3 linked regions of the Arabidopsis thaliana genome follow. The protein of the gene in region 1 interacts with the protein of each later gene in a biochemical or structural test. Each region holds a gene or a part of one and is shown on either strand. Other genes may lie near its edges. The genes, in order: TUB1, GRF5 and AT4G14330.

Evidence for each region.
Region 2: the proteins of TUB1 (region 1) and GRF5 form a complex in vitro, tested with the Arabidopsis thaliana proteins (one study listed by BioGRID).
Region 3: the proteins of TUB1 (region 1) and AT4G14330 form a complex in vitro, tested with the Arabidopsis thaliana proteins (one study listed by BioGRID).

Annotation. Positions count from the first base shown.
Region 1 is NC_003070.9:28,448,690-28,459,054, reverse strand, and holds TUB1 (tubulin beta-1 chain), read left to right. Parts: upstream 1-5,234; 5' UTR 5,235-5,452; coding exon 5,453-5,849; intron 5,850-6,642; coding exon 6,643-6,912; intron 6,913-7,000; coding exon 7,001-7,677; 3' UTR 7,678-7,917; downstream 7,918-10,365. Other genes in the region: AT1G75800 (Pathogenesis-related thaumatin superfamily protein), read right to left, coding at 1-30, 112-166; sks18 (SKU5 similar 18), read left to right, coding at 1,667-1,804, 1,930-2,039, 2,113-2,383, 2,596-2,698, 2,796-3,156, 3,260-3,625, 3,708-3,786, 3,866-4,075; AT1G75785 (protein TUB21), read right to left, coding at 7,263-7,326, 7,357-7,580; AT1G75770 (uncharacterized protein), read right to left, coding at 8,084-8,389, 8,495-8,554, 8,707-9,033.
Region 2 is NC_003076.8:5,240,547-5,250,559, reverse strand, and holds GRF5 (general regulatory factor 5), read left to right. Parts: upstream 1-4,721; 5' UTR 4,722-4,808; intron 4,809-4,817; exon of another isoform or gene 4,818-5,003; intron 5,004-5,134; 5' UTR 5,135-5,157; coding exon 5,158-5,640; intron 5,641-5,727; coding exon 5,728-5,850; intron 5,851-6,237; coding exon 6,238-6,354; intron 6,355-6,468; coding exon 6,469-6,552; 3' UTR 6,553-7,005; downstream 7,006-10,013. Other genes in the region: AT5G16070 (TCP-1/cpn60 chaperonin family protein), read left to right, coding at 45-180, 396-547, 634-681, 820-912, 1,028-1,134, 1,230-1,344, 1,424-1,507, 1,795-1,999 and 5 more; AT5G16060 (Cytochrome c oxidase biogenesis protein Cmc1-like protein), read right to left, coding at 3,351-3,432, 3,854-4,001, 4,342-4,399; AT5G16040 (Regulator of chromosome condensation (RCC1) family protein), read left to right, coding at 7,252-7,280, 7,371-7,515, 7,875-7,985, 8,081-8,141, 8,239-8,354, 8,457-8,542, 8,633-8,834, 8,949-9,002 and 3 more; AT5G16030 (mental retardation GTPase activating protein), read right to left, coding at 9,982-10,013. UniProt on the Arabidopsis thaliana protein: Is associated with a DNA binding complex that binds to the G box, a well-characterized cis-acting DNA regulatory element found in plant genes.
Region 3 is NC_003075.7:8,240,495-8,251,449, reverse strand, and holds AT4G14330 (P-loop containing nucleoside triphosphate hydrolases superfamily protein), read right to left. Parts: upstream 7,398-10,955; 5' UTR 7,223-7,397; coding exon 6,614-7,222; intron 6,538-6,613; coding exon 6,382-6,537; intron 6,291-6,381; coding exon 6,183-6,290; intron 6,094-6,182; coding exon 5,983-6,093; intron 5,883-5,982; coding exon 4,545-5,882; intron 4,452-4,544; coding exon 4,164-4,451; 3' UTR 3,956-4,163; downstream 1-3,955. Other genes in the region: CKI1 (casein kinase I), read left to right, coding at 1-16, 283-352, 443-591, 668-763, 892-962, 1,174-1,235, 1,342-1,405, 1,497-1,581 and 5 more; AT4G14320 (Zinc-binding ribosomal protein family protein), read left to right, coding at 7,645-7,647, 8,219-8,398, 8,548-8,622, 8,707-8,728, 9,425-9,609; AT4G14315 (uncharacterized protein), read right to left, coding at 10,277-10,456. UniProt on the Arabidopsis thaliana protein: Probable plus end-directed motor protein that may contribute to the transport of Golgi-derived vesicles in the phragmoplast.

The sequences.
Region 1 (10,365 bases):
TCACCATAATGAAGCTCGTTGATCTAACTCCTGTTTATAAAACCATAAAATCATCAGAATCACAGTATTATTAATCATAACTAAAGTTGATCTATAGGAGAAGATTCGTACCAGAAACGAACAAATGAGAGAAGATAAGGAAGATCAATGGCAACGGAAGAGCCATTGAATTGGAGAAGAAGAAGATTTAAGGACTTTAATTGCTCTGTTTTCTTCTTCTTCTTTATTAGTTTTATTTATGAAACAGAGACTTAAAAGAGGATTCTGAGAGCGAAAGAGAGATGAAGAAGAAGATGTGTGCTTTATAGTAGAAGCTTTTTTCCTCTGTTGGTGAGAATCTGGTGTATGTGTTGGTTGGTAGCTTATGGTACGCCTGCTTACGTGGACACATCTAATTGGTTATTTTTTTTAACCGTTGAGATTAAGAAAAGCACCTGATGATTTTATATAGTAAATTTTGTTGTTTAATCGGTTCATAGTTCATAATTAGCACTATACGATAATGGGTTAGTCTGGTTTTTAAATAGTTAAATTACCACTAATTGTTGTCCGAGTTTGATTGATAACATTTTAACGAAAATATCCAATTACCTTTTGACGTTCACTTTTAATTAAAAATATCTACAAAACGTAAAGTAGATCTTTATTTTTCAAGATTCTTTAACTTTACTGTTTAGTTACGTGATTAGGATTTGTAACCACGTAGACGTGTAAAACAAAATTACTTTTTTATCTGTGATTTATAGGAATTTGAGATTTGAATGCAACGTTGTTGTTTCATCTAACAATAAGTGATGAAGAACTTCAAAAGTCTAAAACCATATCATTTATAAAATCATCATTTCATTTTCAGAACAACTAGGTACGATTAGTGGACGTTTCAACGTCTTTCATGATAATCGCGGGCCATGTAAATTATTATATTTGAGGAATGAGGATCCATATAATATCTTGGCTATATAAAAATTATTTATTTGTTCAATATAATATCTTTGCGTTTTATTGATCAATTGCAAGTTTGCAACGATATACACCAGGAAAAAAAAGGAGAAACAAAATTCATTTTGCTTATACGTATGTACTATGTACATTTCTGTATACTCAAAGTTGTTAGATATTTTGTTGTGGAAAGTGATAATGTTGTTACTTTTTACTGTTTTTTAGGTGGTGTGAACTGTGAAAGTTTGAAAGATACAAAAGTGATGAATAATTTTTCAATAATTGTTTTGCGTTGTATTATTTTTTGTAGGAGTAATAGCGACCATCTTTGTAATATTGTGTAGACAGACAGGTCACATCCACTTTACAATATATCGTAAGCAATTGCCATCGTCCTCCCTCACGTTTTTTTTTTCGTCCGTCACATTACAATAAGATATTTAATGGGCCTTTATGCATGGTTTAGTATAATGAATAAGCCCAGCAAATTTTAACAAAAGCACAAATGTGCTGCCCATAAATTAGGTTGGAAATGCAGATTGCATGAACTTTTCGATCATATTCAAAAAACATAGCACAAAACAAACGTTAACTCCAAACAGAGTAACAATAGTTGTCGTCTAATTAATATATTGTTCCAAAGAAAAATATGTAGCTACGTCTTGCCTCTAACACCTCTTTTTCACATCACAAGCATCTTAAAATTTCTTAAATCACTCTTTTCGCGATGAGACATGTCTTTGTCGAGGTGTTGGTTCTGATCTCTTTGGTCATCTTGGAGTTGAGCTATGCGTTTGCACCAATCTCATCGTATCAATGGGTCGTCTCGTATTCTCAACGTTTCATTCTTGGAGGCAACAAGCAGGTAACCATTTTCATTTGAATATGTTTTTATTTGTTACAATAATATGGTTTTAGCTATCTTATATGAAATTTCAGATGCATGATCAATCTATAGGTTATAGTATTCACCAAAAAAAAAATCTATAGGTTATAGTGATCAACGACATGTTCCCTGGACCGATCCTTAATGCAACAGCAAACGATATCATTGTCGTTAACATTTTCAACAATTTGCCCGAACCCTTCCTCATGACTTGGTATATATTTTCAACTTTTTGTTTTGGGTTAATTTTAGGAATAATTGTTATTAAACCTCTATGTAAATTAAAGGAATGGATTGCAATTGCGGAAGAACTCGTGGCAAGATGGAGTTCGAGGGACAAACTGTCCCATACTACCGGGGACAAATTGGACGTACCGTTTTCAGGTGAAGGATCAAATTGGAAGTTACTTTTATTTTCCGACCCTTCTACTTCAGAAAGCTGCCGGAGGATACGGTGCTATTAGAATCTATCCCCCAGAACTTGTCCCAGTCCCATTCCCTAAGCCCGACGAAGAATACGACATCTTGATTGGAGATTGGTTTTATCTCGACCATACAGTATGTTTCTTTGATAAATTACCGTATTATCATCAAACCTACATTCCAATACTATCCTTTTTATATATAAAAAAACTAATTTTGTAGATCATAATCATTTTGGTTATTGAGTTTTATCTTGCCCATTTATTGAATGTGTTATTAGTTTCATTGTAAAAGATGTTTTGCTTGATTTGCATAATTAACACTTGGTTTCCAAATTTTGGTGTAAGGTTATGAGAGCTTCACTTGACGCTGGTCACAGTTTGCCAAATCCTGATGGTATTCTTTTTAACGGGCGTGGCCCTGAAGAGACCTTCTTTGCATTTGAACCAGGTGAGTTTTTTTCTTCTTTTAAAAATATTACATTATATCTTTAATAATGTAGTTTACACACAAATGTTCTTTTTATGTTGTCTATATATAATCACAGGCAAAACATATAGGCTAAGAATATCAAACGTGGGTCTCAAAACATGCTTAAACTTCAGAATCCAAGACCACGATATGCTTCTAGTTGAGACAGAGGGTACGTATGTTCAAAAACGTGTTTACTCGAGCCTGGACATCCACGTAGGCCAATCATACTCTATTCTTGTCACTGCCAAAACCGACCCGGTTGGAATTTACCGGTCTTACTACATATTCGCCACAGCTCGGTTCACTGATTCCTACCTTGGCGGTATAGCTTTAATTCGATATCCCGGTTCCCCACTTGACCCAGTCGGACAAGGTCCACTCGCACCTGCTTTGCAAGATTTTGGTTCCTCAGTTGAACAAGCCCTTTCCATTAGGTAAAGAAATACTCTTTTTTTATACCAAAGAATAAAAACTTTTATATGAAATATTTCGTTTAGTATTTGTTCTTGACTAATAAACGTTAAGTGTACGACACAGAATGGACCTGAACGTTGGAGCAGCAAGATCGAACCCTCAAGGTTCGTACCACTATGGACGAATAAACGTAACCAGAACGATAATATTACATAACGACGTTATGTTATCGTCGGGCAAACTACGGTATACGATTAACGGCGTTTCGTTTGTCTACCCCGAGACTCCGTTAAAGCTCGTTGATCATTTTCAGCTAAATGACACGATAATCCCTGGCATGTTCCCGGTTTATCCATCCAACAAAACACCGACTCTTGGAACTTCAGTGGTCGATATTCATTACAAAGATTTCATCCACATCGTGTTCCAGAACCCTCTATTTGGATTGGAGAGTTATCACATCGATGGTTACAATTTCTTCGTTGTCGGGTAAAAATTACAATATTTAAATCATAATTATGTGTATGATGATTAAATTAGGTGTACTAATTTTATTTGAGTTTAATGTTAGATATGGATTTGGAGCTTGGTCTGAAAGCAAAAAAGCTGGATATAACTTAGTAGATGCTGTTTCACGGTCAACAGTTCAGGTTAAGCCATATCTAATCTCGTAATTTAAAGTATTAAACCAGTGATTAGTTTTGGTTAATTGATTCTGTGTGTGTTTAGGTTTATCCATATTCGTGGACAGCAATATTGATAGCTATGGATAATCAAGGAATGTGGAACGTGAGATCACAGAAAGCAGAGCAATGGTATCTTGGTCAAGAGCTTTATATGAGAGTTAAAGGTGAAGGAGAAGAAGATCCTTCGACTATTCCGGTTAGAGATGAAAATCCGATACCGGGAAATGTCATCCGTTGTGGCAAAGTTCGATAATAATTAATTGTCTGAAATAATAAAACCTAGAAAAGTCTATTTTAATTAGCAAAACTAAAGAACGGTTTAAAGGAATGATCAGAGAGTATTAGGATCTGTGTTGATCTTAGGGTTTGTGGTTTGATTGCGATTCGAATCACTTGTGTAATTGCAGAAGACGGATGGTAATTTAAAGAGATGATCTTAGGGTTTGTGGTTTGATTGCGACTAAAGACTACTAGACGATGCCGTTTTAGATTTTAATGGGCTCACACAGTTGTTATCTGCAAACCGGCCCAGGTCTGTTTTGACTTGGTGAGTGCTAACGTGCTCTATAAGAAGATATTGTAGCCACATACGAACAGCTAACGTGCTCCCATTTCCTCTATGTTCCCTTGAGTGACATACGTTTTCACAATAAGTTGGGAGCAAGTAATTTACCAAGAACAAATATATATTTTAAAAAATATAGGATCCTTTTACAAGTTCAATTATTGATTTTGACGTTACGTATAAACAGTAGATCGACCATGACATAAATAAAAATGAAAAAATAATTGGATCAAATCTCAGATCTTACTACAGTCTACATCTACCTAGCTACATGTGCTATGGCATTATTTGTTTTTCATGTTATCATCAATATTGTATAAAAGATCCAAACACAATCAGTGTGATGATATTTTTCTATACTTTTGATCATTCAACCGATTTCAATTATTGTGTTTGATCGTTTACATAGAAATAGGTACATATGCATTCAAGATCTCCAGATCGTTTATTACGTCTTGCTACATGTGCTATGTCACTAAAACAACTAAGATACTACATGCAAAGTTACTGTATTCATTACGCATTGATCGTCTTCTTCTACGCACTATTATTGAATTTTTGTTTCTCGATGTTTTCAGAAGTCATAACATATAATCAAGGGTGGTTGTAGCTAGTCGTGATGAAATTCGAATAGTAAAAGATTCATCAAATGGATCAAGATTTGAAACTAGAATGAATGATCGATACTTGAAAGCTATCACACTTAAATAGTTAAATGGACGATATAATTCAACAATATCTTAAATAACATTAATCATTCACTTTGTAGAAATTTCAATTTGACGGTGCTAACAACAATATGTGACATTTTTGTTTGCAGCAAAAAAGTCAAATGGTAAAAAAAAACATTTTTTTAAAAAGAGAGTATAGTAAAAAAAACAGAGGATAAAAAACGAACAAACGGTTAAAGCTGGCAAAGATCCCATCTTCCCCACGCTGTCAAATTTTGTCACTACTTCCCAAAAAAAACTCTCCCGCCTCTCTCTCTCCCTCTCCCTTCTTATTCTCCTCCTTCTTCTCCTTCACCATCTCCAGATCCCAAAATCTTCATCGATCATCATCATCATGAGAGAAATCCTCCACGTCCAAGGCGGCCAATGCGGTAACCAAATCGGTTCCAAATTCTGGGAAGTTATCTGCGACGAACACGGCGTTGATCCCACCGGACGTTACAACGGTGATTCCGCCGATCTTCAGCTCGAACGTATCAATGTTTATTACAATGAAGCTTCTGGTGGTCGTTACGTTCCTCGTGCTGTTCTCATGGATCTCGAGCCTGGTACTATGGATAGTATCAGATCTGGTCCCTACGGTCAGATTTTCCGTCCTGATAACTTCGTCTTTGGTCAATCCGGTGCCGGAAATAATTGGGCGAAAGGTCATTATACTGAAGGTGCTGAACTTATTGATGCTGTTCTCGATGTTGTTCGTAAGGAAGCTGAGAACTGTGATTGCCTTCAAGGTATATATATGAATCGATTTCTCCCTTTTGATTTATGAATCTGCTGGTGCTTTGATCATATTATCTGATTGATTTGTGAATCAAAACTGCAATTATCCGATGGTTTCGATCATTTAAATCTCGTCTCGTGAGTGTTAATGTAGTTGCATATTTAGTAACCGATGATTTCGATTTCAGTTTGATTTTTGATCATCTTCGCATTGCACTAGTGAATCTCTCACATATCGTGTTTTGATATTTGATTAACGTTTCTCTTCATTGATCTCTTCATGGTCATGGTTCCAATTACAGTTTATGAATTACATGAACATGATCCGTCGATGTTCTTGTGTTTGATTTGCGTTTTTATGGTGTTTCTCTCCTGTTGATTACTGTTTAAGAGTGAGCTGTTAACACTTAATGATTGGCTAGGATTTAGATTTTGTCTATTCTTTATAGTAAAAAGTTAACATCATTGAAACTAAGGACAATATCCTAATTTGGCGGTAGTGTATTAGTGTCCCCTAATGTTTTGTTCCAGATTTGTGACTGTGGATCAACAATATCACGTGAAACCTTAAAACCATATCGAATTTTATAATAAGAACTTTAGGGAATACTCTTGTGTTGACACTTTCGAGGTGAAACATATCACTTTGTGGGGATATAATTGAATAAGCAAGTGGGTCATGATTGGTTTCAGCAATTGTTAAATAACATCTCAATACTTTTTGGATCTGGTTTAGGTATAAGGGACTTCTTTAGTTTTGTAGTACATTGTTTCACACTTGTTCTTAACATTTCTGTATTACAGGGTTTCAAGTATGTCACTCTCTTGGAGGAGGCACGGGTTCAGGAATGGGAACTCTCTTGATATCAAAGATCCGTGAGGAATACCCAGACAGAATGATGCTCACATTCTCTGTTTTCCCATCTCCAAAGGTCTCAGACACAGTCGTTGAGCCGTACAATGCAACTCTCTCAGTCCACCAACTTGTAGAGAATGCTGATGAATGCATGGTCCTCGACAACGAAGCTCTTTACGATATCTGTTTCCGCACTCTCAAACTCAGCACTCCTAGCTGTAAGTACCATCAAAACCTTAATGTTTGTTACTTTGTTTTCTTGGTTCCTAAATTCTAAGAGTTCATATATATATATACATTTTGCAGTTGGAGACTTGAACCACTTGATCTCCGCAACTATGAGTGGTGTGACTTGCTCTTTAAGATTCCCTGGACAACTCAACTCTGACCTTAGGAAACTCGCCGTGAACCTTATCCCATTCCCTCGTCTACATTTCTTCATGGTTGGTTTCGCCCCTCTCACTTCCCGTGGCTCTCAACAGTACATCTCTCTCACAGTCCCGGAGCTGACACAGCAAATGTGGGACGCTAAGAACATGATGTGTGCAGCTGATCCACGCCACGGACGTTACCTCACAGCTTCAGCCATGTTCCGAGGAAAAATGAGCACAAAGGAAGTGGACGAACAGATCCTAAATGTCCAGAACAAGAACTCATCCTACTTTGTTGAATGGATCCCAAACAATGTGAAGTCCAGCGTCTGCGACATTCCACCAACTGGAATCAAAATGGCTTCCACGTTTGTCGGAAACTCGACTTCGATCCAGGAAATGTTCAGGAGAGTAAGCGAACAGTTCACGGCTATGTTCAGGCGTAAAGCTTTCTTGCATTGGTACACAGGAGAAGGAATGGACGAGATGGAGTTCACTGAAGCAGAGAGCAACATGAATGATCTGGTCTCTGAATACCAACAATACCAAGATGCTACCGCTGATGAAGAAGACGAATATGATGAAGAAGAAGAACAAGTTTACGAATCTTGATCTTACAACACAAACCAAAAGATGAAAAAACACAGAAGTCACATCTCTATCTCTTTTATTGAAATCTCTATTCCTACTATTACCACTATATATATATATACATGTATCAAGTTGAAGAATCTGGGAAATGTGTTTGTTTGTTTGTTACTTTATCTTTGTGGTTCTCTCTTATTGTATTTTGCAACTTAGTTTCTTCTTTTCTTCTCATTGCCTTTATAATAAAGAGTCTGTCCACGTATCTCCCTCTTTAGCCTTTTATTTCATAGTATTCAAAAAAACGATTCTTAGAATCCTTTCAGTTTATAGTATAGACAACCAAAACATTGGAAACTTGGTTGCATATTCGTTACAAAATCCTGCTATTTCTGCTATATAATTATCACCCCAAAAAAAGGTTTATCAAAAACTACTTAAATTGATAAGAAGAGATGAATCTATTAAAAAGCTTCTTAGATCGAATCAAACCTAGTCTTCTTTGTCTTGCTTGAGCAGCTACTTGGACTTTATTTGGCACTCTCTGAAAACCCTCCTCTGCTGCTGGAAGAAGGTTCAGATCAAAGCCACGTCGTTCCAAGTTATCCATTCGCAACGACGCCGTTTCAACATCCCTCACATTGACCGTACGATCAACCGCAAAAAACGGTAGTTGTTGATCGTATCTTATGGGCTGGGCTATTAAACCAGCTTGCTCCCTAAGTAAACCTGTCTCCGCCTGTATCTCCACAGAATATTATCAAAACGGAAACAAATATCAAAAATGCTAAACATTTTTTTATACAAAAGGGAAAACAAAAAATAAAAAGGTAACAATGAACACCTCGAGGACTGAAGAACTCTGATTTTTCCTACAAAATTCTTCTTCTAAACCCTTTTTAATCTGTCGTTTATATCAAAAACAAACACAAAAAACAATTACTCAATACCAAATTTACCACATAATGAATTTTACACAGATACAAATTAGAAAAATTTAAGAACAAACACAAGAAAAACAAGTCTCTGTTTAAACTGAGAAAAATTAAGACTTACGATTTGAGAATTGGTTTTCTTGGCCTCACCGGTTAAGCACGAAGAACTCGAATTACTTCCCATATCGCCGACATCAGCCATACACGGCAGCGATTTTATCACCGGTTCCGGCGGATGCAGGTGAGAAGAAGAAGAAGACCTCTTTTTAGTGCGACCCCATTTATGTAACACAGGAGAATCAGAAGAGAATATGACAGGATGTGAAAGTTGCAATAAGATAGAAGAAATTTCGTAGTCAATGCTATCGAAAAAATCATCTCTCTTCTTGCCTTTGCCGTCACGGTGATCTTCCATTGATAAACTCTGTGTCTTCTTCTTCTTCGACATTGAATGAAGAGAGACACGAATGAATAGTCTTCTCTTCTTCCCGGCTTGAAACGATTGGGTTAATGAGATAAATCTTTCTCAGAAGATTTTGTTTGTTTTTATTTTTCATATAATAATTTGATGGGTCTAAGCTTATGACACGTGTCAGTACATTTTTTTGGTTAAATTTTCTTTTCTCGTCTTTTGTTTCTTATTTTTTTTATTTTCGAGTTTCTTGTTTTCGTCGTAACTACCTTTTTGGCCAACTAATTTCAGTCAATTTTGGAAGTAAAAAAATAGGATTAATCCCCAATATGTCATGTAAAAAAATACAAAAAATTATTTTTATTTCTGATATTTTTTCGACTTTCATATCTTTTTTTTATGGTATAATATTAATTTCCATCCAAATTGGGCTTTGGCAATGGGTTACAACAAAAATCAATGGTGGTCTCTTTCTTTCTCCAAACTTAGCAAAACTCACACAAGACTTTGTTCTGATGAAGCAAACCAATGTTGAATGTTATGAGCTTAACAAGTTTGGTAAGAGAGGTGTGTTGAGTTTTTCTTAATTAGTTTTTATGTTTGGAGTTTTTGACTCACCAAGTTTCATTTGATTGTTCAGTGGCAAATGACTTGAGGATGAAAAGAAAACAATTCTGATTTCTGACTATATTAGAGATAATCATCAACACCACTAGAGGAAAGATTAGGAGAACAAGAACCTCATAAAATAGGGGAAAGTGGGATTGTATTTAGATATTGGAAAGAGTTTAGCTGTATTATTAAAAACAAATCGATTATTGAAATAATTGCATCAATCAAATCTAAAACTTCCTATAACCTATATTTTTATAATTAAAGCTCTAATTTTTATTTCATCTACTGTTTAATCTTAATTACTATTATCGCACGTATATTCCAAATCAAATTCTTGAAGATCAAAACTGATTCTGCAAAGATTTGGGGAGTGTTAGTGGATTGATCACCTCAGTACATTTTAAGAGCACTATACTAAATTAATAATTACCACTCTAACTAATATAATCATTTTGTGGAATCTGATACAGTCTAAAATCAGAAAACAAGATATTTACATAGCCGTAGAAACAATCATTTTACAACACATAAAATTATGCAAGAAAAAAATACAAATAATTATGAATCAATACTACACAATCCAATTATAATCGTTTAACAATTCATTACAAATATTTTGAAATGAACTTACATTAAGTTTGAAGAAAACCTATTCAATAAAGTTTCTCTATGAATACAAAGAGACAAATTAAACCAGAGTCGTTGGCTTACCACGAATCTAATTTCCACCTAAACATACTTAACAATCCACGT
Region 2 (10,013 bases), on another chromosome or scaffold:
CTTGGTTCGATGATGCTTACACTCTGATTTCTTAACTGTTGCAGCAAATTCAGAATCCAACAGCCATTATGATTGCGAGGACAGCTGTTGCACAGGATGATATAAGTGGTGATGGTACTACTTCCACTGTTATCTTCATTGGTGAGCTTATGAAACAGTCTGAACGCTGCATCGATGAAGGTAAGTCGCTAATTGTTTGCTGAGAGTTCGTTAGTTTTATACTCCTATATGCTTGTTTTTATTTTATTTCTCAATCTATGTGTTATTAGTGGGGACCAACTATTTGTATTCAGCGACATTGATTTGCCAAGTTTTGTTTATATTGGGTATAGAAAATGCACAACTGGTATCTAGTTTTGTAGCCAGAATCCTAATGAAGGTTTATACTGTATCAGGTATGCATCCACGAGTCCTAGTTGATGGTTTCGAGATTGCTAAGAGAGCTACTCTTCAATTTCTTGACAACTTCAAGACCCCTGTTGTTATGGGTGATGAAGTTGATAAAGAGATCCTAAAAATGGTTGCAAGAACGACACTAAGAACAAAAGTATTCTTCATTTTATGATTATCTTTCTTTTCATTTGATTTTTCTTTTCGTTTTCTAATTTCGATTTACTCTTGTGGATTGTGTAGTTGTACGAAGGCTTAGCTGATCAACTGACTGACATTGTCGTCAATTCGGTGAGTTAACTGTTCTCTAATGGAATCTCACTTATTCTTTTCATTTTTTTTGTTCACACAGATGAGGACTCATCTATGCACCAATATTGGTTTTCGAGCTTGTTTGTCTTCTAATTATCTACTTTCCTCACATTACAGGTTCTTTGCATCCGAAAGCCTGAGGAAGCTATTGATCTGTTTATGGTGGAAATAATGCACATGCGTCACAAATTCGATGTTGACACACGATTGGTATGTCTTGACTTAATTTATTGTAAAATAGTTCCCTCATTATAGGTTTATATATGAAATACTTGCCGGTTTATAGTATGGACCTGTTGGAAACACTGACTTAATTCTGAATTAGGTTGAGGGGCTTGTTCTGGATCATGGTTCGAGACACCCTGACATGAAACGACGCGCAGAAAATTGCCACATCTTAACTTGCAATGTGTCACTAGAGTATGAGAAGAGGTGTGTAATATAATTCTTTGGTCAATTTGGCGAAGAGAAAGTAAAGGCCTGGATGTTTCTGGTGATGTGGACTAATATTTCTATTTATCTATCAGTGAAATCAATGCAGGATTTTTCTACTCTAATGCGGAGCAGAGGGAAGCCATGGTTACCGCAGAGAGGCGATCTGTTGATGAAAGAGTTAAGAAAATAATTGAGCTGAAGAAGAAGGTGGGACTGCGACCATTTCTCCAAGTTTTATTTTAAAACCCTGTAAAAAATACTAATACATGTTTTATTTCTTGTGCAGGTGTGTGGTGATAATGACAACTTTGTTGTCATAAATCAGAAGGGTATTGACCCACCATCATTGGATCTTCTTGCTAGAGAAGGGGTAAGCTACTTCTGTGTTTTCTTGCATTTAAACTTATGTTACAAATCGCTGAAATTGTGATATTTAGGAACAAGAAGAAAGATACTAGGGAAGAATGTGTTATTAAGTGAATTGAAATTGCCAGTAATATTAAAAGAGTAGTTCCTTCGATATACAATAATCCATGGAGACGATTGGCAGCATTAGTTTTTAGTTCTGGGACACTGACTGAGCTTGTCTATTCTTTTGTACCTAATTTCTCTTGTTTAGAAGCTGTTGAATCTAATTACCTTTCCTCATGTGTCCAGATTATTGGTCTTAGAAGAGCAAAGAGGAGGAACATGGAACGTTTAGTTTTGGCCTGTGGTGGAGAAGCTGTGAATTCTGTTGACGACTTGACCCCTGAGTCTCTTGGATGGGCTGGACTTGTCTATGAGCACGTTCTTGGGGAGGAAAAGTACACCTTTGTGGAGCAAGTGAAGAATCCTAATTCATGTACCATCCTCATAAAAGGTATTAGGACGACTTTTATGTCTTCATTAAGTTTTGATGGTTCATTTGTTCTTTTAGTAGTTTTAGTGTTCATTCATGAATTTCTTGGGTTTTGTAGGGCCTAATGATCACACTATTGCCCAAATTAAGGACGCTGTTCGTGATGGTCTGAGATCGGTCAAGAACACCATAGAAGACGAGTGTGTTGTGTTAGTAAGTACCTTATATATCTTGAAGTTTTTTTGTTAACATTGCTTTATGTTTCTCCGCAATATCAAAGAAATTGTTAATTCGTGATCAAAACCCTGGGTAAGGTTAGCATATAGACCTATTGTATATGTTTTGCGTTATGTTAATGTGTGGTTGCATGTTTCTGTAGGGAGCAGGAGCTTTTGAAGTTGCAGCAAGGCAACACTTACTCAATGAAGTCAAGAAAACCGTTCAAGGGGTAAGTTGATTTCTTCACTCGTACTCTAATTCTCGCAACATTACTTAATGCATCCCAATATTCTAAATTGCTAATACTATCATGAACATTGCAGCGTGCCCAACTTGGCGTTGAAGCTTTTGCTAATGCCCTTCTCGTGGTGCCTAAGACACTTGCAGAAAATGCAGGTCTTGATACCCAAGATGTGATCATTTCTCTTACGGTATGCATTCATCTCTCTTATCATCTTCTGCAAACTGAAATCAATTGTTGAAGGAACAAAGAATTAGAATTGCTCATTGTGATGCGCTTATGCAGAGCGAGCATGACAAAGGGAACGTTGTGGGACTGAACCTTCAGGACGGTGAACCTATTGACCCGCAGCTTGCTGGTATTTTTGATAATTACTCAGTGAAACGCCAACTTATCAATTCAGGGTAATGTTCGACCCAACTAGTCAATTCTAATAAAAGCTTTGGGTTTCGGTTGAAACCATTTCAATAACCGGCTATTTGTTTGTGTTGCAGGCCAGTGATTGCGTCGCAATTACTTTTGGTGGACGAAGTGATTCGTGCAGGCAGAAATATGAGGAAGCCTACTGCTTGAAGTCCTTTGCTTTTAACTTGGTTTCTAATTTGTAAGCACCTCAAATTTTGTTTCTTGGTGTAAATCCTGAATATTGTGAAACATATGTTTTTTTTTTCTTTTTGGCAATGAAAAACATATTTGAATCTGATCTTTAGATGTAGTGGATCTTTTGCAAAATGATAAAAAATAGTAATACAAAATCTATTTGAATCTGATCTCTAGATTTAGTGAATACACCCATATTTAAGAAAGGCCACAGTTTATTTATAAAAAAGGATATATTTTGGTTCGCAATGAACAAGAAACAAAGCGAGGACATTATATTGGTCGTACTCAAATCTTTTGTTCAACAAACATCTATATGGCCGAGGCTGAGACTTTACCCTCTTCTTGAACCATATACGCTCTCTTCATTTCCTCCAAGACATTGTCATTGGTGCTGCAGAATCAACAAAATAGTTTCATGGTTAGACAACATTTAAGCATCGGCCCAACAAGGGAGACGTTCATTAGGGAGTCACATAAAAAGAACTTGTGCACCAAGAACAAGACTGTGCTACACCGATATAGAAGATAGTTATTACTTCTCTTTTATCGCAGTATCAAAGAATCATCAATCATCCCCTTCTATAAGCTTATATTTGGTTACATATATATACTAGCACTGGTACGTCATGATAACGTTATGCATCTCCTAACCACAAGTTGTCTCATTTCATCATATCAGACTTACCAGTGAAGGGTATTAAGAAAGAATAATCAAAATCAGATGCCCCCATACACAACAAATCTTTATACGTAACAGTGAAAAAAAGATGACACCTCTAATGGAAGGAGCACTAAAAACTCGAAAAACTTACAATTGATGGAGGCAAGTGTTGAGCTCCCTAGCTTGCTTACGACATGTCCATACCACAGAAAAAGTTCTTCCTGTTGCGCATTGAGCATACTTGGAGACGTACTGATCACATTCCATTAATGCCTTTGCCTTCATCTTGCTACGCAGCGCTAATAACAAAGTATATACATAATCAATCAAACAACCATTTAACAAAAAAAAACCATCACCATTTCAACTTCAACACAATCTATAAGCTCAATTCATAGAAGCAATTTGACACACTCAATGAGAGCTTGCTAGATCAGATGCAAAATATGGAGTTACTACCAAGGGTTTATGAGAACCCTAATCCTCAATCTAGCAAAAGAATCTGCGTCTATGATAAGAAACCAGGCTTAAATAGTATCGATATGGTTGATCTCATTTTCGAGGCAATAAAAAAACCATTTGGGGGTTTAGGGTTTTAAAACATAGCGAGATGAAGAAGTCACGACATTGTCAAATTACCTTCTTCGACCTTCTTCTTCACGTGATTTTCACGAGCTTGCTCCACATAGCTACCCATTGACGACGGACCTTCGAGCTTTTCCGGCCTTCTCCGATCAATTCGATCAAAAGGGCAAAGGGGACTAGAAATGGGTTCAGGGCAAAGGGTAAATCCGTCATTTACCCCAAGGAAACTTAACTTATATTGCCATTTTGCCCCCTTAATATTTTTGTATTATATGAATGACCTTATTAACTTATGATTCGTCACATTTCACCCACTTCAATTTAAAATTATGGACGAGAATTAAGTCCTTTGACGGTCAACAGATTAGCACGTGTCGTATTTTAATTGGGTCGTTGCCCCTCTCTCTCTCTTTACTCTTTTCCCATTTAATGGTCACGAGACCGTCTCCCCCAAATTTCTCACTTCCCCTAATTTCGCTTCGAATTCAAAAGCCCTAATTCGAAAATTCCCATTTCTCAAGGTACGGTTCCGATCTTCCTTGCTCATACTTCGACAATGTTTTTTCTGCTTCTCGTTTTCTGCGTTTATTGTTGATATGTTGTTGATCTTCGCGTTTTGGTCATCACTTCAAGATCTGTAGGATTCAAAGTTCGTTCTATCGATTTTGGATAGATCTAGCAGTGTAAATCGTTTGTCAAAGTTTTTTATTCTTTGGGTGCGTGGATTAATTTTGTTAGAGATGATTGTTATCGTTGCTCTTGAATGCAAGATTGTTGCAGCATTACTGAGTTCTATTTCGTGCTCTTTGTTTATTGCTGCTGCTTGATATTTTCTTGTTGAAAACAGGTTTTTAAAAGAGTATTGCAAAGATGTCTTCTGATTCGTCCCGGGAAGAGAATGTGTACTTGGCCAAGTTAGCCGAGCAAGCTGAGCGTTACGAGGAAATGGTTGAGTTCATGGAGAAAGTTGCAAAGACCGTGGAGACCGAGGAACTTACTGTTGAAGAGAGGAATCTCTTGTCTGTTGCTTACAAGAACGTGATTGGTGCTAGGAGAGCTTCTTGGAGGATTATCTCTTCCATTGAGCAGAAGGAAGATAGCAGGGGCAACAGTGATCATGTTTCGATTATCAAGGATTACAGAGGCAAGATTGAAACTGAGCTCAGCAAGATTTGTGATGGCATTTTGAACCTTCTTGAGGCTCATCTCATTCCTGCTGCTTCTTTGGCTGAGTCCAAAGTTTTTTACCTGAAGATGAAGGGAGATTATCATCGGTACCTTGCTGAATTCAAGACTGGTGCTGAGAGGAAAGAAGCTGCTGAGAGCACTCTTGTTGCCTACAAGTCTGCTCAGGTTATCATCTTGTTTCTTCTTCTTAACCATATAGAGTGCTAAGATAACATGTTGTCTCATGCTATTGGTGTTTGTGTTTTTATGTAGGATATTGCTCTTGCTGATCTGGCTCCCACTCACCCAATCAGACTGGGGCTTGCTCTTAACTTCTCTGTTTTCTACTATGAGATTCTCAACTCATCTGATCGTGCGTGTAGTCTCGCAAAGCAGGTCTGTGTTACTTTTTCATTTATGCTATGCTTTCTGTCATTAACTAACAAACCTATATTCCAACTGTTTTGCTTGATTAAACTTAGCACATAAGAGGTTCTTTTTTTCTATCTATCGTTCATAATGTGGCAAAAACGTGTTACGTAGTTAACTTGTTACACTTCCATGTGGGTAGACTTTCCATATGTTCTAGTAATGGTTTGTAGATTGCTTACCATAGCCTGACCGATAGGGTTGTAGTTAATTTTGATGATGGGCAGAATTGGGAAACTAGATCCTGTGAATGGTTCCATACACTAGTGAAATTTGGACAACCTTCACATTCGGATTCTAGTTTGATTCAAGTACCTTTTGTTTAGTTACTAATATGATTTTTCATGGTGGTAGGCTTTTGATGAGGCAATCTCGGAGCTAGACACATTGGGAGAGGAATCATACAAGGACAGTACATTGATCATGCAGCTTCTCCGTGACAATCTCACCCTCTGGACTTCTGACCTCAATGTACTTGTCTCTCTTTACACTCATCATTGTTAGCAATATCTTAGTGATTGCATCATGCAGTTAAGATTCTTGTTGGTTTTCGCATAACATTTGTGTCTAATATCTAATCTCCAGGACGAAGCTGGTGATGATATCAAGGAAGCCCCGAAAGAGGTGCAGAAAGTTGATGAACAAGCCCAACCACCACCTTCGCAGTGATAAAATCAGATCCATGGAATGATTTGCAGACAAAAAAATATATGGCTTGGTTCTGTGTTTTTAAACAGAAAAAAACCTTGTAGTTTCCTTAAACATGGGCTGTAGTTTCCTTAAACATGGATTTGTAGTAGTAATTGTAGCTGCATGATTTGGTTATCGATGGTTAAAACTCTTTGTGTGCTTCTCACATGTTTTGGTTGTTGTCGTTGTTGCCGGTTTCACTATTAGACTGCATTGCATTACATGGTCCGGTCTAAAAGTTGAAAACTTGCTTCCTTCTCTGATTGGGGTTTAGTTGTCTTTTAGATTATGCTTCTCTAGGTGGAATGTTCCCCAAATGGAATTGGTTAAGACTCAAGAGAGTTGTTCAATGAAACGAAATAGAAATGGAATTTCACAACTTTAAACGAAAGATAAAGCCTCTTTCGGTTTGGAACAACTGTTAGGTAACACATATAATGGAATTACAAATCATAAATCCTCCATGACCATAAGCTAAAAAGTTGGATTAATTAATAAATGACATGGGAATGGGAGGTAACATTAACTGGTCCAAAATAAATAATTAATGTAATGACACATTCACATAATAATATCTCGAATTGAAATCCCACCGAGAGTGCCCTGCTTTTCCACTGAGTTTCTTCATATATATCTCTTTCTCTCTCATTTGTAATTGTATCTCTCACTTTTGTTTCAATGGCTTCAGCTACTTCCGTCATAGCCTGGTCATTTCTCTTTCTATTCTACCTCTTTGTTTTTCTCCATTACTGTTTCTGACTTGTGCTATTGCTCCTTCGTTTGATTTTTTGGCACAGGGGTTCTGGAGAAGATGGGCAACTAGGACTTGGAACCGATGAAGAAAAGGAATTGGCTTCCGTCGTCGACGCTCTTGAGCCTTTCAACGTTCGCTCCGTCGTCGGTGGTAGCCGCAATTCCCTCGCCATTTGCGATGATGGCAAGGTTACTTATCCAATTTCCTTTATGTGTCCTTGTTGTGTCTTCTTTGGTTGGTTTCGCTTAGAACTAACTAAAGTACAATGCTTTGCTTTGATTTTGCGATTTGATTCTAAGCCATGTCTTTAAGATTTTCTTAGTTCGCTTTACATAGGGTTTTTGAGATCTGTAGGACCAATTAAAAAGGGTTTAAAGCTCGTATTTTTTTTCTTGTCCTGAAGTCCAACTAAAATGCAACCAATATGTTTGTCTGAGGTTACTCTCGAATAGATCATCAGACTCTGGTTCTTGTCTCCATGGTGTAGTTTATGATTGATGTGTCACCAACATATAGAAATAATATGGTCTCTTAAATGGTTTCTCAGCTGTTTACATGGGGTTGGAATCAAAGGGGTACATTAGGACACCCACCTGAGACAAAAACAGAAAGCACCCCAAGTCTAGTTAAGTCTCTTGCCAACGTCAAGATTGTTCAGGTAAAACTTCTTACAATTATTTAAGTATTTTTGGCTCTAATGCTGTTTCCTCGTTGTGATTTACTCTGAATTGCCGTTTCTGTAATTGATCATAGGCAGCTATTGGTGGCTGGCATTGTTTAGCTGTCGATGATCAAGGCCGAGCATATGCTTGGGGTATGCATTTTCTCTCTCAGCTTCTTTCTAATGATTGTGACCTCAATGATCTTAATGATCTTAAGTTGTTCACCTTTTTGTTATATAATCTACTTAGGTGGAAATGAATATGGACAGTGTGGTGAAGAGCCTTCCAAGGATGAGACAGGTAGGCCTGTGCGGAGGGATATTGTAATACCTAAGCGTTGTGCCCAGCAACTTACAGTCCGACAGGTTACTTATGCTGCTAACCTCTCTTCATTTACCTCAATTTTTAGTTCTCTTTTTTTCCTGTCTAAACCATCTGTTCTCGGGTTTGTATGATTAAAATAACAGGTAGCTGCAGGGGGTACTCACTCTGTGGTTCTAACCCGTGAAGGTTATGTATGGACTTGGGGTCAACCGTGGCCTCCCGGTGACATGTATTATCCAAATTTCCTTTCGTTTATGGATACGACATTTGCATTTTCTTGTCTTCTGTTGGTTTATATGGTGTTTCCTGTGTATCGCAGAAAACAAATTTCTGTTCCTGTAAGAGTTCAGGGTCTTGAAAACGTTCGTCTGATTGCTGTGGGAGCATTTCATAACTTGGCTCTGAAAGAAGATGGGACTTTGTGGGCTTGGGGTAATAATGAATATGGACAACTTGGAACTGGAGACACACAACCGAGATCGTATCCTATTCCTGTCCAAGGCCTTGACGATCTCACTTTGGTATGTAGTCTAAGACTTCTGGTTTAAGCACTCATTATTATAACTGATGCCTTCAGATATGTGAACTATAAAGGCCTATGTTAAAGTTTAATTCCTCCTCTGAATTCATGTTAGGTTGATATCGCTGCGGGTGGATGGCATTCAACAGCTTTAACCAATGAAGGAGAGGTATTAGAAGTCATACATTCTCTTACTAATCTAGGGTCTCACTTTTTATTCCATCTGGCTCTTGATCGAGTCATTACTGGGTTGTTTCTGAGCTTGATGTAGATCTTTACTCTAAAAATGTTGTAACTTGGCTATGTCCAATATTAGGTTTATGGTTGGGGAAGAGGAGAGCATGGAAGGCTCGGGTTTGGTGACAATGATAAGAGCAGTAAAATGCTTCCGCAGAAAGTTAATCTCTTAGCTGGAGAAGACATCATTCAGGTAAAAAGTACAAACCACCAGTTCTTGACTCTTCTCATAGCTTTGAAAGCTCTTATTGTTTTTTTTCCTCTCAGGTCTCTTGTGGCGGAACTCATTCAGTCGCTTTGACAAGAGACGGTAGGATCTTCTCGGTAAGTCCTCTTAGAGAGTATAAAACATTGTTGGTTAGAAACCCAAAGTCAATCTATAAACCTCTCCTTTATATTGATTCCTGTGATCAGTTTGGTCGGGGAGACCACGGTAGACTCGGGTATGGAAGAAAAGTAACTACGGGACAACCATTGGAGCTTCCTATACACATTCCACCACCAGAAGGACGGTTCAACCACACCGATGAAGAAGACGATGGAAAATGGATAGCTAAACATGTAGCTTGTGGTGGCCGACACACTCTAGCAATTGTGGAATGGAAGTATGATCAGGAGGAAACAGAATAACCATGAAGAAGATAGAGCGAGCAAAAAAACAAAAACACAAGAGGGACTCTAGAGATAAGCATTTGTTATAGAGAAAAGGGGAGCAAAAGCATATGGTTAAGCTTTTGACACTCCCATGAATGATGAATCTATATGAAAGAGGAAGAACTAAATATAATATCATCATGATTTTGTTTTTGATAATATAAAATAGATTGAAAAAGAGAAACAAATAAGAGGAACCTTTGAAAGGATGGTTTAAACCTTTAAACCTTTATTGATTCTCTCGGTTTAAAGGTTTTTCAACAACCTTTGACAAGATGAGGAACACAAA
Region 3 (10,955 bases), on another chromosome or scaffold:
AGTCGCAGTTAAGCTGGTAATACTACGAATTTGTTTAAGTTATTTCATTCAAATTTTATAGATTTTGTGCTGAGGAAGGTTTCAATTTTGGATAATGAATCAATGTTATTTGCAGCTTGTTTTAAGTGAGACTAGTTTTGATTGGGAATAGAAGTGTAATTTGCAGCTTGTTCTCTTCTTATTCCTGATGGTTGCTGCTCTGTTATGGAAAGAAATGGTGTTAATTATGCAAGCTCCATTTCTGTCTTTGTGGTCTAATAATGGTTCTTTTTTTGACACTAGGAACCTGTGAAGACGAGGCATCCTCAACTGCAGTATGAATCGAAAATATATATGTTTCTTCAAGGAGGAAGTGAGTTTGGTTTGTCTTTCTCTGCTAGTTTATATGAAGTTTTAGTTCCAAGCCTCTGATACCTTGATATATTTTCTTTCTGTTAAATAGCGGGTGTTCCCCATCTGAAATGGTTTGGAGTTGAGGGTGAATACAGTTGCATGGTTATCGATCTTCTTGGGCCAAGCTTGGAGGACTTATTCAATTACTGCAAGCGAATATTTTCATTAAAATCTGTTTTAATGCTTGCAGATCAATTGGTAAGTACTGAGTAATGAGTATGCCCTTTCTTTAAGATGTTAGGTTGGTCGTTGAGAGTATGTTGTATCAATGCAGATATGTAGAGTTGAGTATATGCATTCGCGGGGTTTTCTTCACCGCGATATTAAACCAGACAACTTTTTGATGGGTCTTGGGCGCAGAGCAAACCAGGTAATCTACCGATTCAGCATGAGTTGGTGTATGTTTTGAAGATGTCTTTAGAATAAATCTGTGTGTGATTCTTAGCATAGGAGTAGTACTGAAGCCTTCTGGTTTACTGAATTAATTTCTAACCTCAGGTGTATATCATTGATTATGGCCTTGCTAAAAAATACAAGGATCTTCAGACACAAAAGCATATACCATACAGGTGAGATATGCAAACTCTTACCTACATTTTCAGTCATCCATGTTTTAGGAACCTGTTGTAGATATATGTTTAGTTGATCTTCCGTGCCTATCTTATTCATGAAACTTGAATTTTATGCTGCACCAGTGTTTTCTTATAGATCGTGTTCAATACTTTCCTTTGTGCACTCTTCTTCCAGCTTGCTTTATTAGTATTCCTTGCAATTTTGCAGGGAAAACAAGAATCTTACAGGAACTGCTCGGTATGCAAGTGTGAACACACACCTTGGGATTGGTAAGAGCTGCTTTCATCTCATACATCCGTGGATTTCTTGTCAGAAGCATTTGATGAAAACTCTTATCTTCCTTTGCTGACTCATTTTTTTTATGCATACTTACAGAGCAAAGTAGAAGAGATGATCTGGAGTCACTTGGTTATGTGTTGATGTATTTTCTACGAGGAAGGTAGTAAAAGTTTCTTGGTTGTATATTAACTTATAACTTCATAAAGAAAACGAAATCCTTAAACTCGAGTTCATGTTTTCTCTTGTATCAGTCTTCCGTGGCAAGGTTTAAAAGCTGGTACGAAGAAGCAGAAATATGACAAGATTAGTGAAAAGAAGATGCTTACTTCTGTAGAGGTACATCATTGTTAAGGTTATGTATGCAGATGATGTTTTCAGATGTCCAGTAGTTCTGACATAGCATGATTTTACGTTTTTGCAGACTCTTTGCAAGTCGTATCCATCAGAGTTCACATCGTACTTCCATTACTGTCGTTCATTGAGATTTGAGGACAAACCGGATTATTCATATCTGAGAAGACTTTTTAGGGATCTTTTCATTCGTGAAGGTTGAAACTTCTTGCTTTGTTTGTTCTCTATTCACTCTCTATTATTAGATTGTTTATGGTCTATGCAGTCTAGTGGGATTAAAAGAATCATCTCTAGCTTTCTTATACGCATTTAATGGAATGGACTATGCAGGTTATCAGCTTGATTATGTGTTTGATTGGACAATCTCGAAGTATCCTCAGATTGGCTCTAGTTCGAGACCAAGGGTTAGTTCTATTATTGATTTAACGTGTGGAGAACCAAGTCTCAGAACAATTGAATAATCCAAAATCTTATCCTGCTATGTGTCTATCATTTACAACAGCCAACTCCAAGACCAGCGTTGGACCCTCCAGGACCACCTGCAGAAAGAGCTGAAAAGCCTACAGGTACATTGATGTTCTCTGTCTCTTATATTGGAGGGACGAATACAAAGAGATATATCAAAAAGTTTATTTTAAGTTGTAAATTTATGAGACAGTGTTGACAATTTTGGGTGCTGAAAAACGTGCACTATCTCACTTGACCCTTCAGATATTAACATTCATATGTTGTTTCCCTTAGAAGATTTTGAATTTGTGTCCAGAGATTTAATTAAATTGTTGAATAGTGGAAGATCTCAAACTGAGAACTTCTTTCCCTATTCTGTTTAGTCGGACAGGACCTGCGAGGAAGATTTACAGGTGCAATTGAGGCATTCACCAGACGAAATGTTTCAAGCCAAGGCGCTCTTGGTGATCGCTCTAGACACAGATCTTCTGATGATATACCCTCTTCTGCCAAGGAAGTGGTTAGTTTGTGTTGTTATTTCTCTTGTTGTAATGATCCAAAGTAATTCTCAGAATAAGTAGGGAATCAGAACATGAGAAAGTTTGTGTGTTTTGATTTGCTGGCTTCATTTGCAGCACGAGTCTCGAAATGGAAGTACCTCAAAGAGAGGTGTGATATCAAGCACCAGACCTGGCTCATCAGCTGAACCAAGCGAGAACCACTCAAGCCGACTATTTTCAAGTGGTTCACGTCATGCCACAACCCAACGGGTTCCACAGAGCTATGAATCTGCAGCTGCAGCAAGGCCTGGGCATGAGGATGCCATTAGAAACTTCGAGCTCCTTACCATCGGCTCTGGAAAGAAGAGGAAATGAAGATAGGGAAGGAGAAGTTTGATGAGAGTGAAAAGACAACATTCGGTGCTGATGGCTCTCTCCTCTGAAAATAGGAAAGACATGTCCTCGAATTGTTTTTTAACCTTGGGAACAAGATGAGAAAGTGAGAGAGAGAAAGAGAGTTAATGTAATCTGCCTCTCCCAATCTCTCAGTCTCTGTTTTTAAAAGAATCTGTTAATAAAGCTTTAAAGTGTAACTTGTCTCATGTGTACTTCAATTTTCTCCTCTTTCTGTTCTCTAAAACTTCGATGTGGAAGTAAAATATGAAAACCTATCTCATCTAGTCATCTTCTCCAACCTTTTAAACTGTATATCGAAAACCAACGTGCCTAGTCAGTCATATTATGGTCGAATAAAAGAAAGTTTTAGACTTTGTTGACAAATCTTGTTGTACAACTTGAAAAACACTCCATGCTGATGGCTCTAGTCACTCACTTTGACTGCTGAAAGTGGTCGTACATAGCGTTTTTTTTCTCAACACCGAGAAATAGACAGGCTACATACATCTTTCAAAATAATTGAGTTAATTGGTTGTTGTTCTGTATTCAGCTAATGTAATAAAGATGAATCATCATATATTATCCATAAAAACATCAATAACAGTGGTCTTTTACTTTGGAGATAATGAGGTTGCAGAAGAATTGAGTTAATCTAGTGTGTAACTAAGAAAGTGACTGAGTACCTGTAGATAAAAGAAGACATTTGGTCAATGCATGCATGTGAGCATATTGAGAGATAGGGCTTAACTAATGAAGTTGCTTTTCTATAATAGGGCTTGGCTTTCCCTTGCAGTTGCAGGTAATCTTTGCTTCCGGGATATTGTTATTTTTAAGAGCCTTTGAAATTTTTGCCCTTGTTTTTGGTGTTCACGTTATGATGATGATCATAAAGATATTGGGGTTGGAATTGAATAGGGCTTTTGGAATTTGTCCATATGTTACAATGACAGAGAGAGGTAAGAAGTAGCTCTATGTGGCTGCAGCATTCTCTCTACTTATGTATATGTTATAAGTAGAACTAAGCATCCTTTGGGAAACACCAGTTATACGTTCTGATAAACACCACTCTGCTGAAACATCGTAGAACATATATATAGCTACAAAAGTGGTCGTACATAAGAGTTTTTTTTTTCTCAACACAGAGAAATAGACAAAGGCTGCTACATCTTTCAAAAGCTACCTTTGGACAGACAAAAGAAGAATAGAGAAAACAAGACATAGCGACTAATGTCTTCTGAGAGTGATGAATGGAGTGGAGCTGAGATGAGCTACGAGATTGGGTGATGAAAATTCATCAACTTGATGGTTCGGTGTCACTTTTGAGATGGGGGTAACTTCCATCATGTTTTCTATGGGATTAAGTGGAAGTGGGCTTGCAGGTTGAAGACTTTTATGTTGTGAGCTCTTTCCTGGTCTCAAAGTGGCGAGGTATGCGTGTCCGTTGCAGAGAGGTAGGCTCGTAGCTTGAACTGTTGATTCTTTCTCCTTTGCCACTTGAGCTCCACATGGTTCCTTCATACATTGAAATAACTGCATTTAGGATCAGAGCATAACAAACAGATAAAAATGAAAAGCTTTTTGTGCTTGTTGGTTCAAGTTTATTACCCCGAGCTTGAGAAAGGTAAAAGCCTGATTATCAGATCCAAGGTAGATCTCAATAAGCTTCCTCAAGTCAGCTAGTGTTGCATCCTTTGTAACTCTCAGTGTTGTTATGAGCTTTCGAGGGTTATCAGCAGCTGTTTCCCATTTAACATAGATATCTAGCTGACCGTTTTCCCTTTGATCGACTGAGATATTGTTTTCCTTTGCTTCTTCTACTGCTAGTGCTTCGGCCTTATTCGTAATAGAAAAGAACTGATTGTCTTTCTTATCAGGTGATGCAATATTGGCTTGATCCTCCTCCTGTCCACTGTGTTGAGACAGCTCTCTCTGATTGCCACAAAGGGTGAAAATGTTTTGAATTCTCAACCTTCTAGACGAGGCTGATTCCTTGTCATCTGCACCGTTGAAGCAGTTCTCTTTACCCAAACCTTCAGAGTTCAAACTAGGCATTGGTGTTGTTATCAAGCAGATGCTTTTATCCTCGACTATCACTTTTTCTTCCTCTTCTTCAACTTCTTCTTCTTCAAAGACAGTGCTCAAGCATACCCGGTCAGGATACATCTGTGTAAGCATATTCTCTGAAGGCTTCGGTTGCAAAAGGTTAGTGAAGTTGCTACTAATAGTGTTGCTTGATTGGTGTGAAACAGCTCCCCACACTTGCTTGACAGGTTCTGGATCACCCATGTCAAGGTCCATTGACTTCACCATACCAGGATCATCATCAGAGTAAAGACTCCTGAGTCTTTTGGCAAACCCACTAGTTTCATCAACACTTCCTCCATTTGAGCGGCGGAACTCAACCTCGATTTCCTCTAACCGTCTCCTCATCATCTCCAGTTCCTCTTGCTGCTGAACTATCCTTTCCTCCATTCTCCTTCTCTCCATCTCAACAAATTCCTCAGCCATTCTTCGGCATTCTTCAAGTTTCTTATCTAGTTCCGACTTCAAAAGCTGGGTTCTCTCGTTTACTTTCTCTTTTATCTCCTCTTCATTGGTAGCACAAGCTTCCCTCTGTGTTAAAAGAGATCTTAAAGCAGCAACTTCCTCTTCCTTCTTCTTCAGCTGCTTTTGTGCCTCATTCCTTTCTTTTTCTTTTTGCTTCTTCTCAGACTGGAGTTTGATAATGAACTCATCCATGGCAGCTATTCTTGATCCCAAAATCACAGCAGAAGCAGACTCATCACCCCCATACTTATCTTTGTTTGGAGTATGAGACCCACGAACTATGCACTTTGCTTTTGCCCCATACTCTAGAGTACAGAGAGTCTTGTGCATTTCCTTTGGATCCGGGCTCGCACACAGGATCATTAGAATCTTTGACTTGTCATCTTCAAAAGAGTCCTGCATTCAGAGAATAGAAACAACACTAAATATCTTCAAGAAAACCAAGCAACACGTAAAACATTTTCCAGAAGATAAAACAATGGAACAAGAATTTCACCTGGAGAAGCATGGTCAGCTTGCTGTCTCTAAAGGGTACATGAGAATCTCCATTTGCTATAGATTCCACAACTCGCTTCAGTGCAATATTTCCCTGGTTGATCTTAGCAGTCTGTTGAATAATGAGAGATATAAGTCAGTTGATATCCATAACTACAATAACTTTAGTAGAATCAAACAAATTGAGAGAGGAAACATTACTTGCATCTTAGCTTCAAATCCAGTCTGCCCAGCTTGGTCTATATTTTCAGAACCAGCCATGTCAACAAGCATCAATCTTCCCCCAACAGTTGGCACATCAAGTATGATCTACAAAAAGAAACAACCACACTAGTAAGTTAAAACAGAGATAAGCTGCATAAAGCTATGCATACACATCAATCAAGAAGATCGTTCTTACAATGCAGTGACTCCGAGAACTTCTTTCGTTACAAAGTGTACTCTTCACAATTCTCCGTTTCTCCACTTTGACAATTTCTTTAGAAATCTTCCCAGCCTCTGTCCCAGAAATAAAACTTGCGTTTTTCGCCTTTTTCCCCATTACTTCAAGCCTCACCTGTAACAAAACAACAAAGTACACACCTTTAAAGCCAATTCAATGTATACTAAAGTTATCAATCAAGAAACTTTACCTTAGTGCTTGCTCCTTTAGGCCAACCAATACCTAAATTGTTACTACTATTAGTCGAAAGAAGATCATAAATCTCCTCATTATAAACCTCAAGAACAGTAACTTGAACAAAAGTAACACCATCTTGATCAGAATCTCCCAATATATCTCTCAAAGAACGATACACAATCCCAGGCTCTTTCCCACAACCAAACATAGTATGACTCTTTCCAGCACCAGTAGGTCCATACATCATAATCGTGCATTTATTCCCAACTTTCACTCCTTTAATCCTCTCTTCTATAAACTTCTTGTAGAACTCTTCAAGACCTTCTTGCTCCGAGAAAGAAACACCGTCGAGTGTGAAGTCTCTGTACCCAACATCAGCTCTGACTCGTACCGTTTGATTATCTGTGTTGACTTGTAAGATCGAAGGTGATTTCTCTTTCCGGTCAGGGTAATCTCGGATCCGGCCGATTACTTCAACTGGATGCTCCGGTGGAGATGGATCTTTAGATCCGTCTGGGTTTGGGGTTTTTGAGTGGAAATTGAGACGTTGTTTTGTTTGTGGAGTTCTGATTAAGGTGTATTGAGTTTGATTTGATCTTGAAGAAGATGGTGTCGGTGCCATTGTTGAAGAAGTTTCGAAAGAGTGAAATTGAAATTGAGATTCAGAGAGCGTTAGAGAGAGAGAAAATGAAAAAGGGGATTAGGGTTTGTGAGTGATTCACGAGGTTTGAAGTTTGAAACAAAGAAACAAACATAACCGTTGTGTTGTATCTCTAAACGGCTAGTTTTTGTCCACGGGCCACTGATTATTAACAATTTTTATTTTCGGCAACTAGAATATATTTACTTTCTTTTAAAAAAGGGAAGTGAGATGGGCCTGACTTTTTGATTAAGTTAATGGGCTTTTTGTGTTTATAGAGGCCCAATGTTTGTAGTATTAGGGTTTTCTCAAATGTCTCTCTTATAAGCTCTGTTACTTTAGGTTTTTATTAAAGGTTTTGCGGCAGTGGAAGACGACGGCACGAGCTTCACCGAAGAGCGAAAATGGTGACTCTCTTCTCTTTCTTTATTTCTGCTAAATTTCTCCTTGGTTACTATTGAAGAACGAGATTATTGATTATAGATCTGCTGTGTGATTTTTCTTCTTCTTTAAGTTGTTTATTTCTGATTTTGCATCTTAAATCGAGAATTATTAGAGTCTAATTGTGATTTTTAGAATCTGTTATGTTGCATTCTGTGTTGTAAATTCGAAGATTCAGTTCACTTCGTCTCTGTGAAGAGTTTTAGCTCCAATCTACCAGAGATTCAAAATGATATAGTGTTATGTATCTTCATTTGTGTTGCTGCAATTCTGTTCTGATTTTTAGGAGAATTAAGAAGGATTTGTACTTCAGGGACTTGTAGGATTCACAAAATGGTTATCAATATTGACTAGTTGAGTAGTCAGATCGTATGGTAGCAATTAATTCTGAATGATTTAGGAGAAGCAGGAAATTTTATTAACAAGTTTTAGGGTTTGTTCTGAAGGGCGTATTTAGATTCACTTCTATGATCGTAATTAATTCTGTATGCTGTTGAAACTGTATCTTGTGGTAGTTTTAAACTTGGTTTTCTGTAGGTGAACATTCCGAAAACTAAGAACACTTACTGCAAGAACAAGGAGTGCAAGAAGCATACCTTGCACAAGGTGACGCAGTATAAGAAAGGTAAAGATAGCCTTGCTGCCCAAGGAAAGCGTCGTTATGATCGTAAACAATCTGGTTATGGAGGTCAGACCAAGCCCGTCTTCCACAAGAAGGTATACTCGCTTTTCCTTGTCTTGATCTCTAATTACTGTCTTCTATGTGAGAACCAATTTAGGATTTCAGAATTGACTCTGTGAAATATGTCTTATAGGAATGATTTGTTAATTGGACCTTGCTCATTATTTGTCTTTCTTTGGAACAGGCTAAGACAACTAAGAAGATTGTGCTGAGGCTTCAATGCCAAAGCTGCAAGCATTTCTCGCAACGCCCGATTAAGGTAATGTCTGCGACATTCTTTACCTTTGTTAATCACTCTTTAGTCTCAGTTCTGTTTCTTACACTTTGTGTGTGGTTTTTGCAGAGGTGCAAGCACTTTGAGATCGGTGGAGACAAGAAGGGAAAGGGAACATCTCTCTTTTAAGTTGTTGTTTCATCTATCTACTTTTTTTTGTTTTGTTTGGTACCTGTCCTGCTTCAATACTGTGATATACTTTGAATCTACCAGAAATGGTCCTGGTTTTTAATTTAAATAGGACTTGGTCTTATGGATGTCTTTTAATTTGGTTAACCAATCTTTCTTCATTAGGCTGCCCTTGAGTATTCTCTATAACTTGCGACAAAGTAGACATAACACTCTTTAAGTTCTAAAAACCACTTTCTATTTTCGGATCTCGAAAAATCATTTATCGTTTTGTGCTGCAAATCAGTGTTATATATGAGCTTGGCAAATTAAAATGACATATACGTATAGAAATGAATTGATAATACTAAATATTATTTGTTTTCTTCTTTTAACTTCAGCCATACTAACTTTCACTAAATTTCTTAAGAGCATACAGAAGTTTCTCCTCGGTATATTGGTGGTTCTATATTCCCCGCAACGTGAATGGAAAATGAAGGTTCTATTTTGGCTATATGATAATCATGCCATTAGCTGACCCGAAACTAATGTGTTACAATAAAACCAAATTATATAAATAGAAGAACATGTTTCCTGGCTCCTTATTGCACAAAAGAGAACATGAACAACTCTTTTTATATTACCATGATAGTCCTATGTGTTTTGGCCTTTGTGTTAGTTTTAATTGAGAGCTGTGCGGGCAAAATGGTAGATGAGATGATATTCTCTTGTGTCTGCTGTGGTGGTCCTGGCTGCTGTGGTGATAGAGGAGAAGGACCTGTTGGTGGTGGTATTGACAATGAACCGGTGAATGTAGTAGTGGTGGTGGTGGAGCCAGGCAGCCAGCGGCGGAAGATGTGGTGACGGTCAAGGATGCTACTTCAGTTTTTCTTTTTTTACTTTATTATACTTAGATTCTGGTACTATATATATTATGGGTATAGATAATTTACACTAAAGTTTTATTTCCGTTATTTAAAATTCGTGTTTTATTTAATCTCTAATTTTCTGTTTCCAAGTCGAATTCCTCTGTACTAATTATACGGCCTTTTAATTTTACAATATGAATAGCCATTTTCTACTAACACATTCTTACCTTTTAGAGGTGTTAATTTTAAGGTAAGTTTCTTCTCTACAATTACGTAATATCATTCAAATCTGTTCATGCTGACAAAAGTTAGGTACTTTTGTGTATATTTCTCGATCATTGACATTGTCTACTACGCTAATATCTAAGGAAAGTGGCATCGATTCTACTTGCTTGTAAAACATACATCGCGATGTAAGTCAAATTCTCTAATAATGTAAGAAACGAAGTGAGAAAGAAAGATAAATCCAAAAAATTTACTTGCAAATCAATAGAGATCCAAACCAACTGCGCATGCGTTAGTCAATTGATATATTGTATATAATAGAACAAATACAATTTTTGTTTTTATAAATGTATAACCAAAAACGTAAGAGCAATACTATCGAAATAAATACGTACTGCATATTACACGATAATAATAGAAAGAGATTTGATGTTTGATCACTTGGAAGTAAAATGGAGATAGAGAAACACAAAGAGCAATACGACCGGAAACATCAAGATCATTGGAAGAGATGGTGCAGTCACCGGTCCCATCATCAACGGAACAAACAGTAACATTAGTGCAACGACAACAATCGCCAAAACCGAACCCATCCCGAATCCATACTCATTCGCCATTTTCGTCTACTTTTCGATAGGAGTAGTGATCAATTCTGTGTTAGTGTCTCTAATTGGAGAAGTTATATATACACAGATTCAGACATCAAATCTACGGTTGTGTCGTTTCCCCGAGAAGTAGAAGACAACGTTTCGTGTACTAATGCATGAAACACAAAAACTGGCGAGACCTTTCACGTTAATAACCACCTCAAAACGCTGCGTTTCGGTTTATTTGTTGCTGCCACGTGTTTTAAAAACAGCATACCCTAAACGCATCGTTTCGTGTCGCAATCAACTATTCAACTGTTACTGTATATTTTATTAAAAACGCAGCGTTTTAGTTAACAAAATTCGTGTCGCTATTTCTACACTGCCACGTGTTTCAAAATGTCGCGTTCTGCATTTGTTGCTATCACGTGTTTAATAAATTTACCTAAACGCTGCGTTTCGTTAATCAATCGACTTTTTGAACATTCGCGATCTCCAAAAATTTTGAGTTTTTTTTTTGGAAATCCCG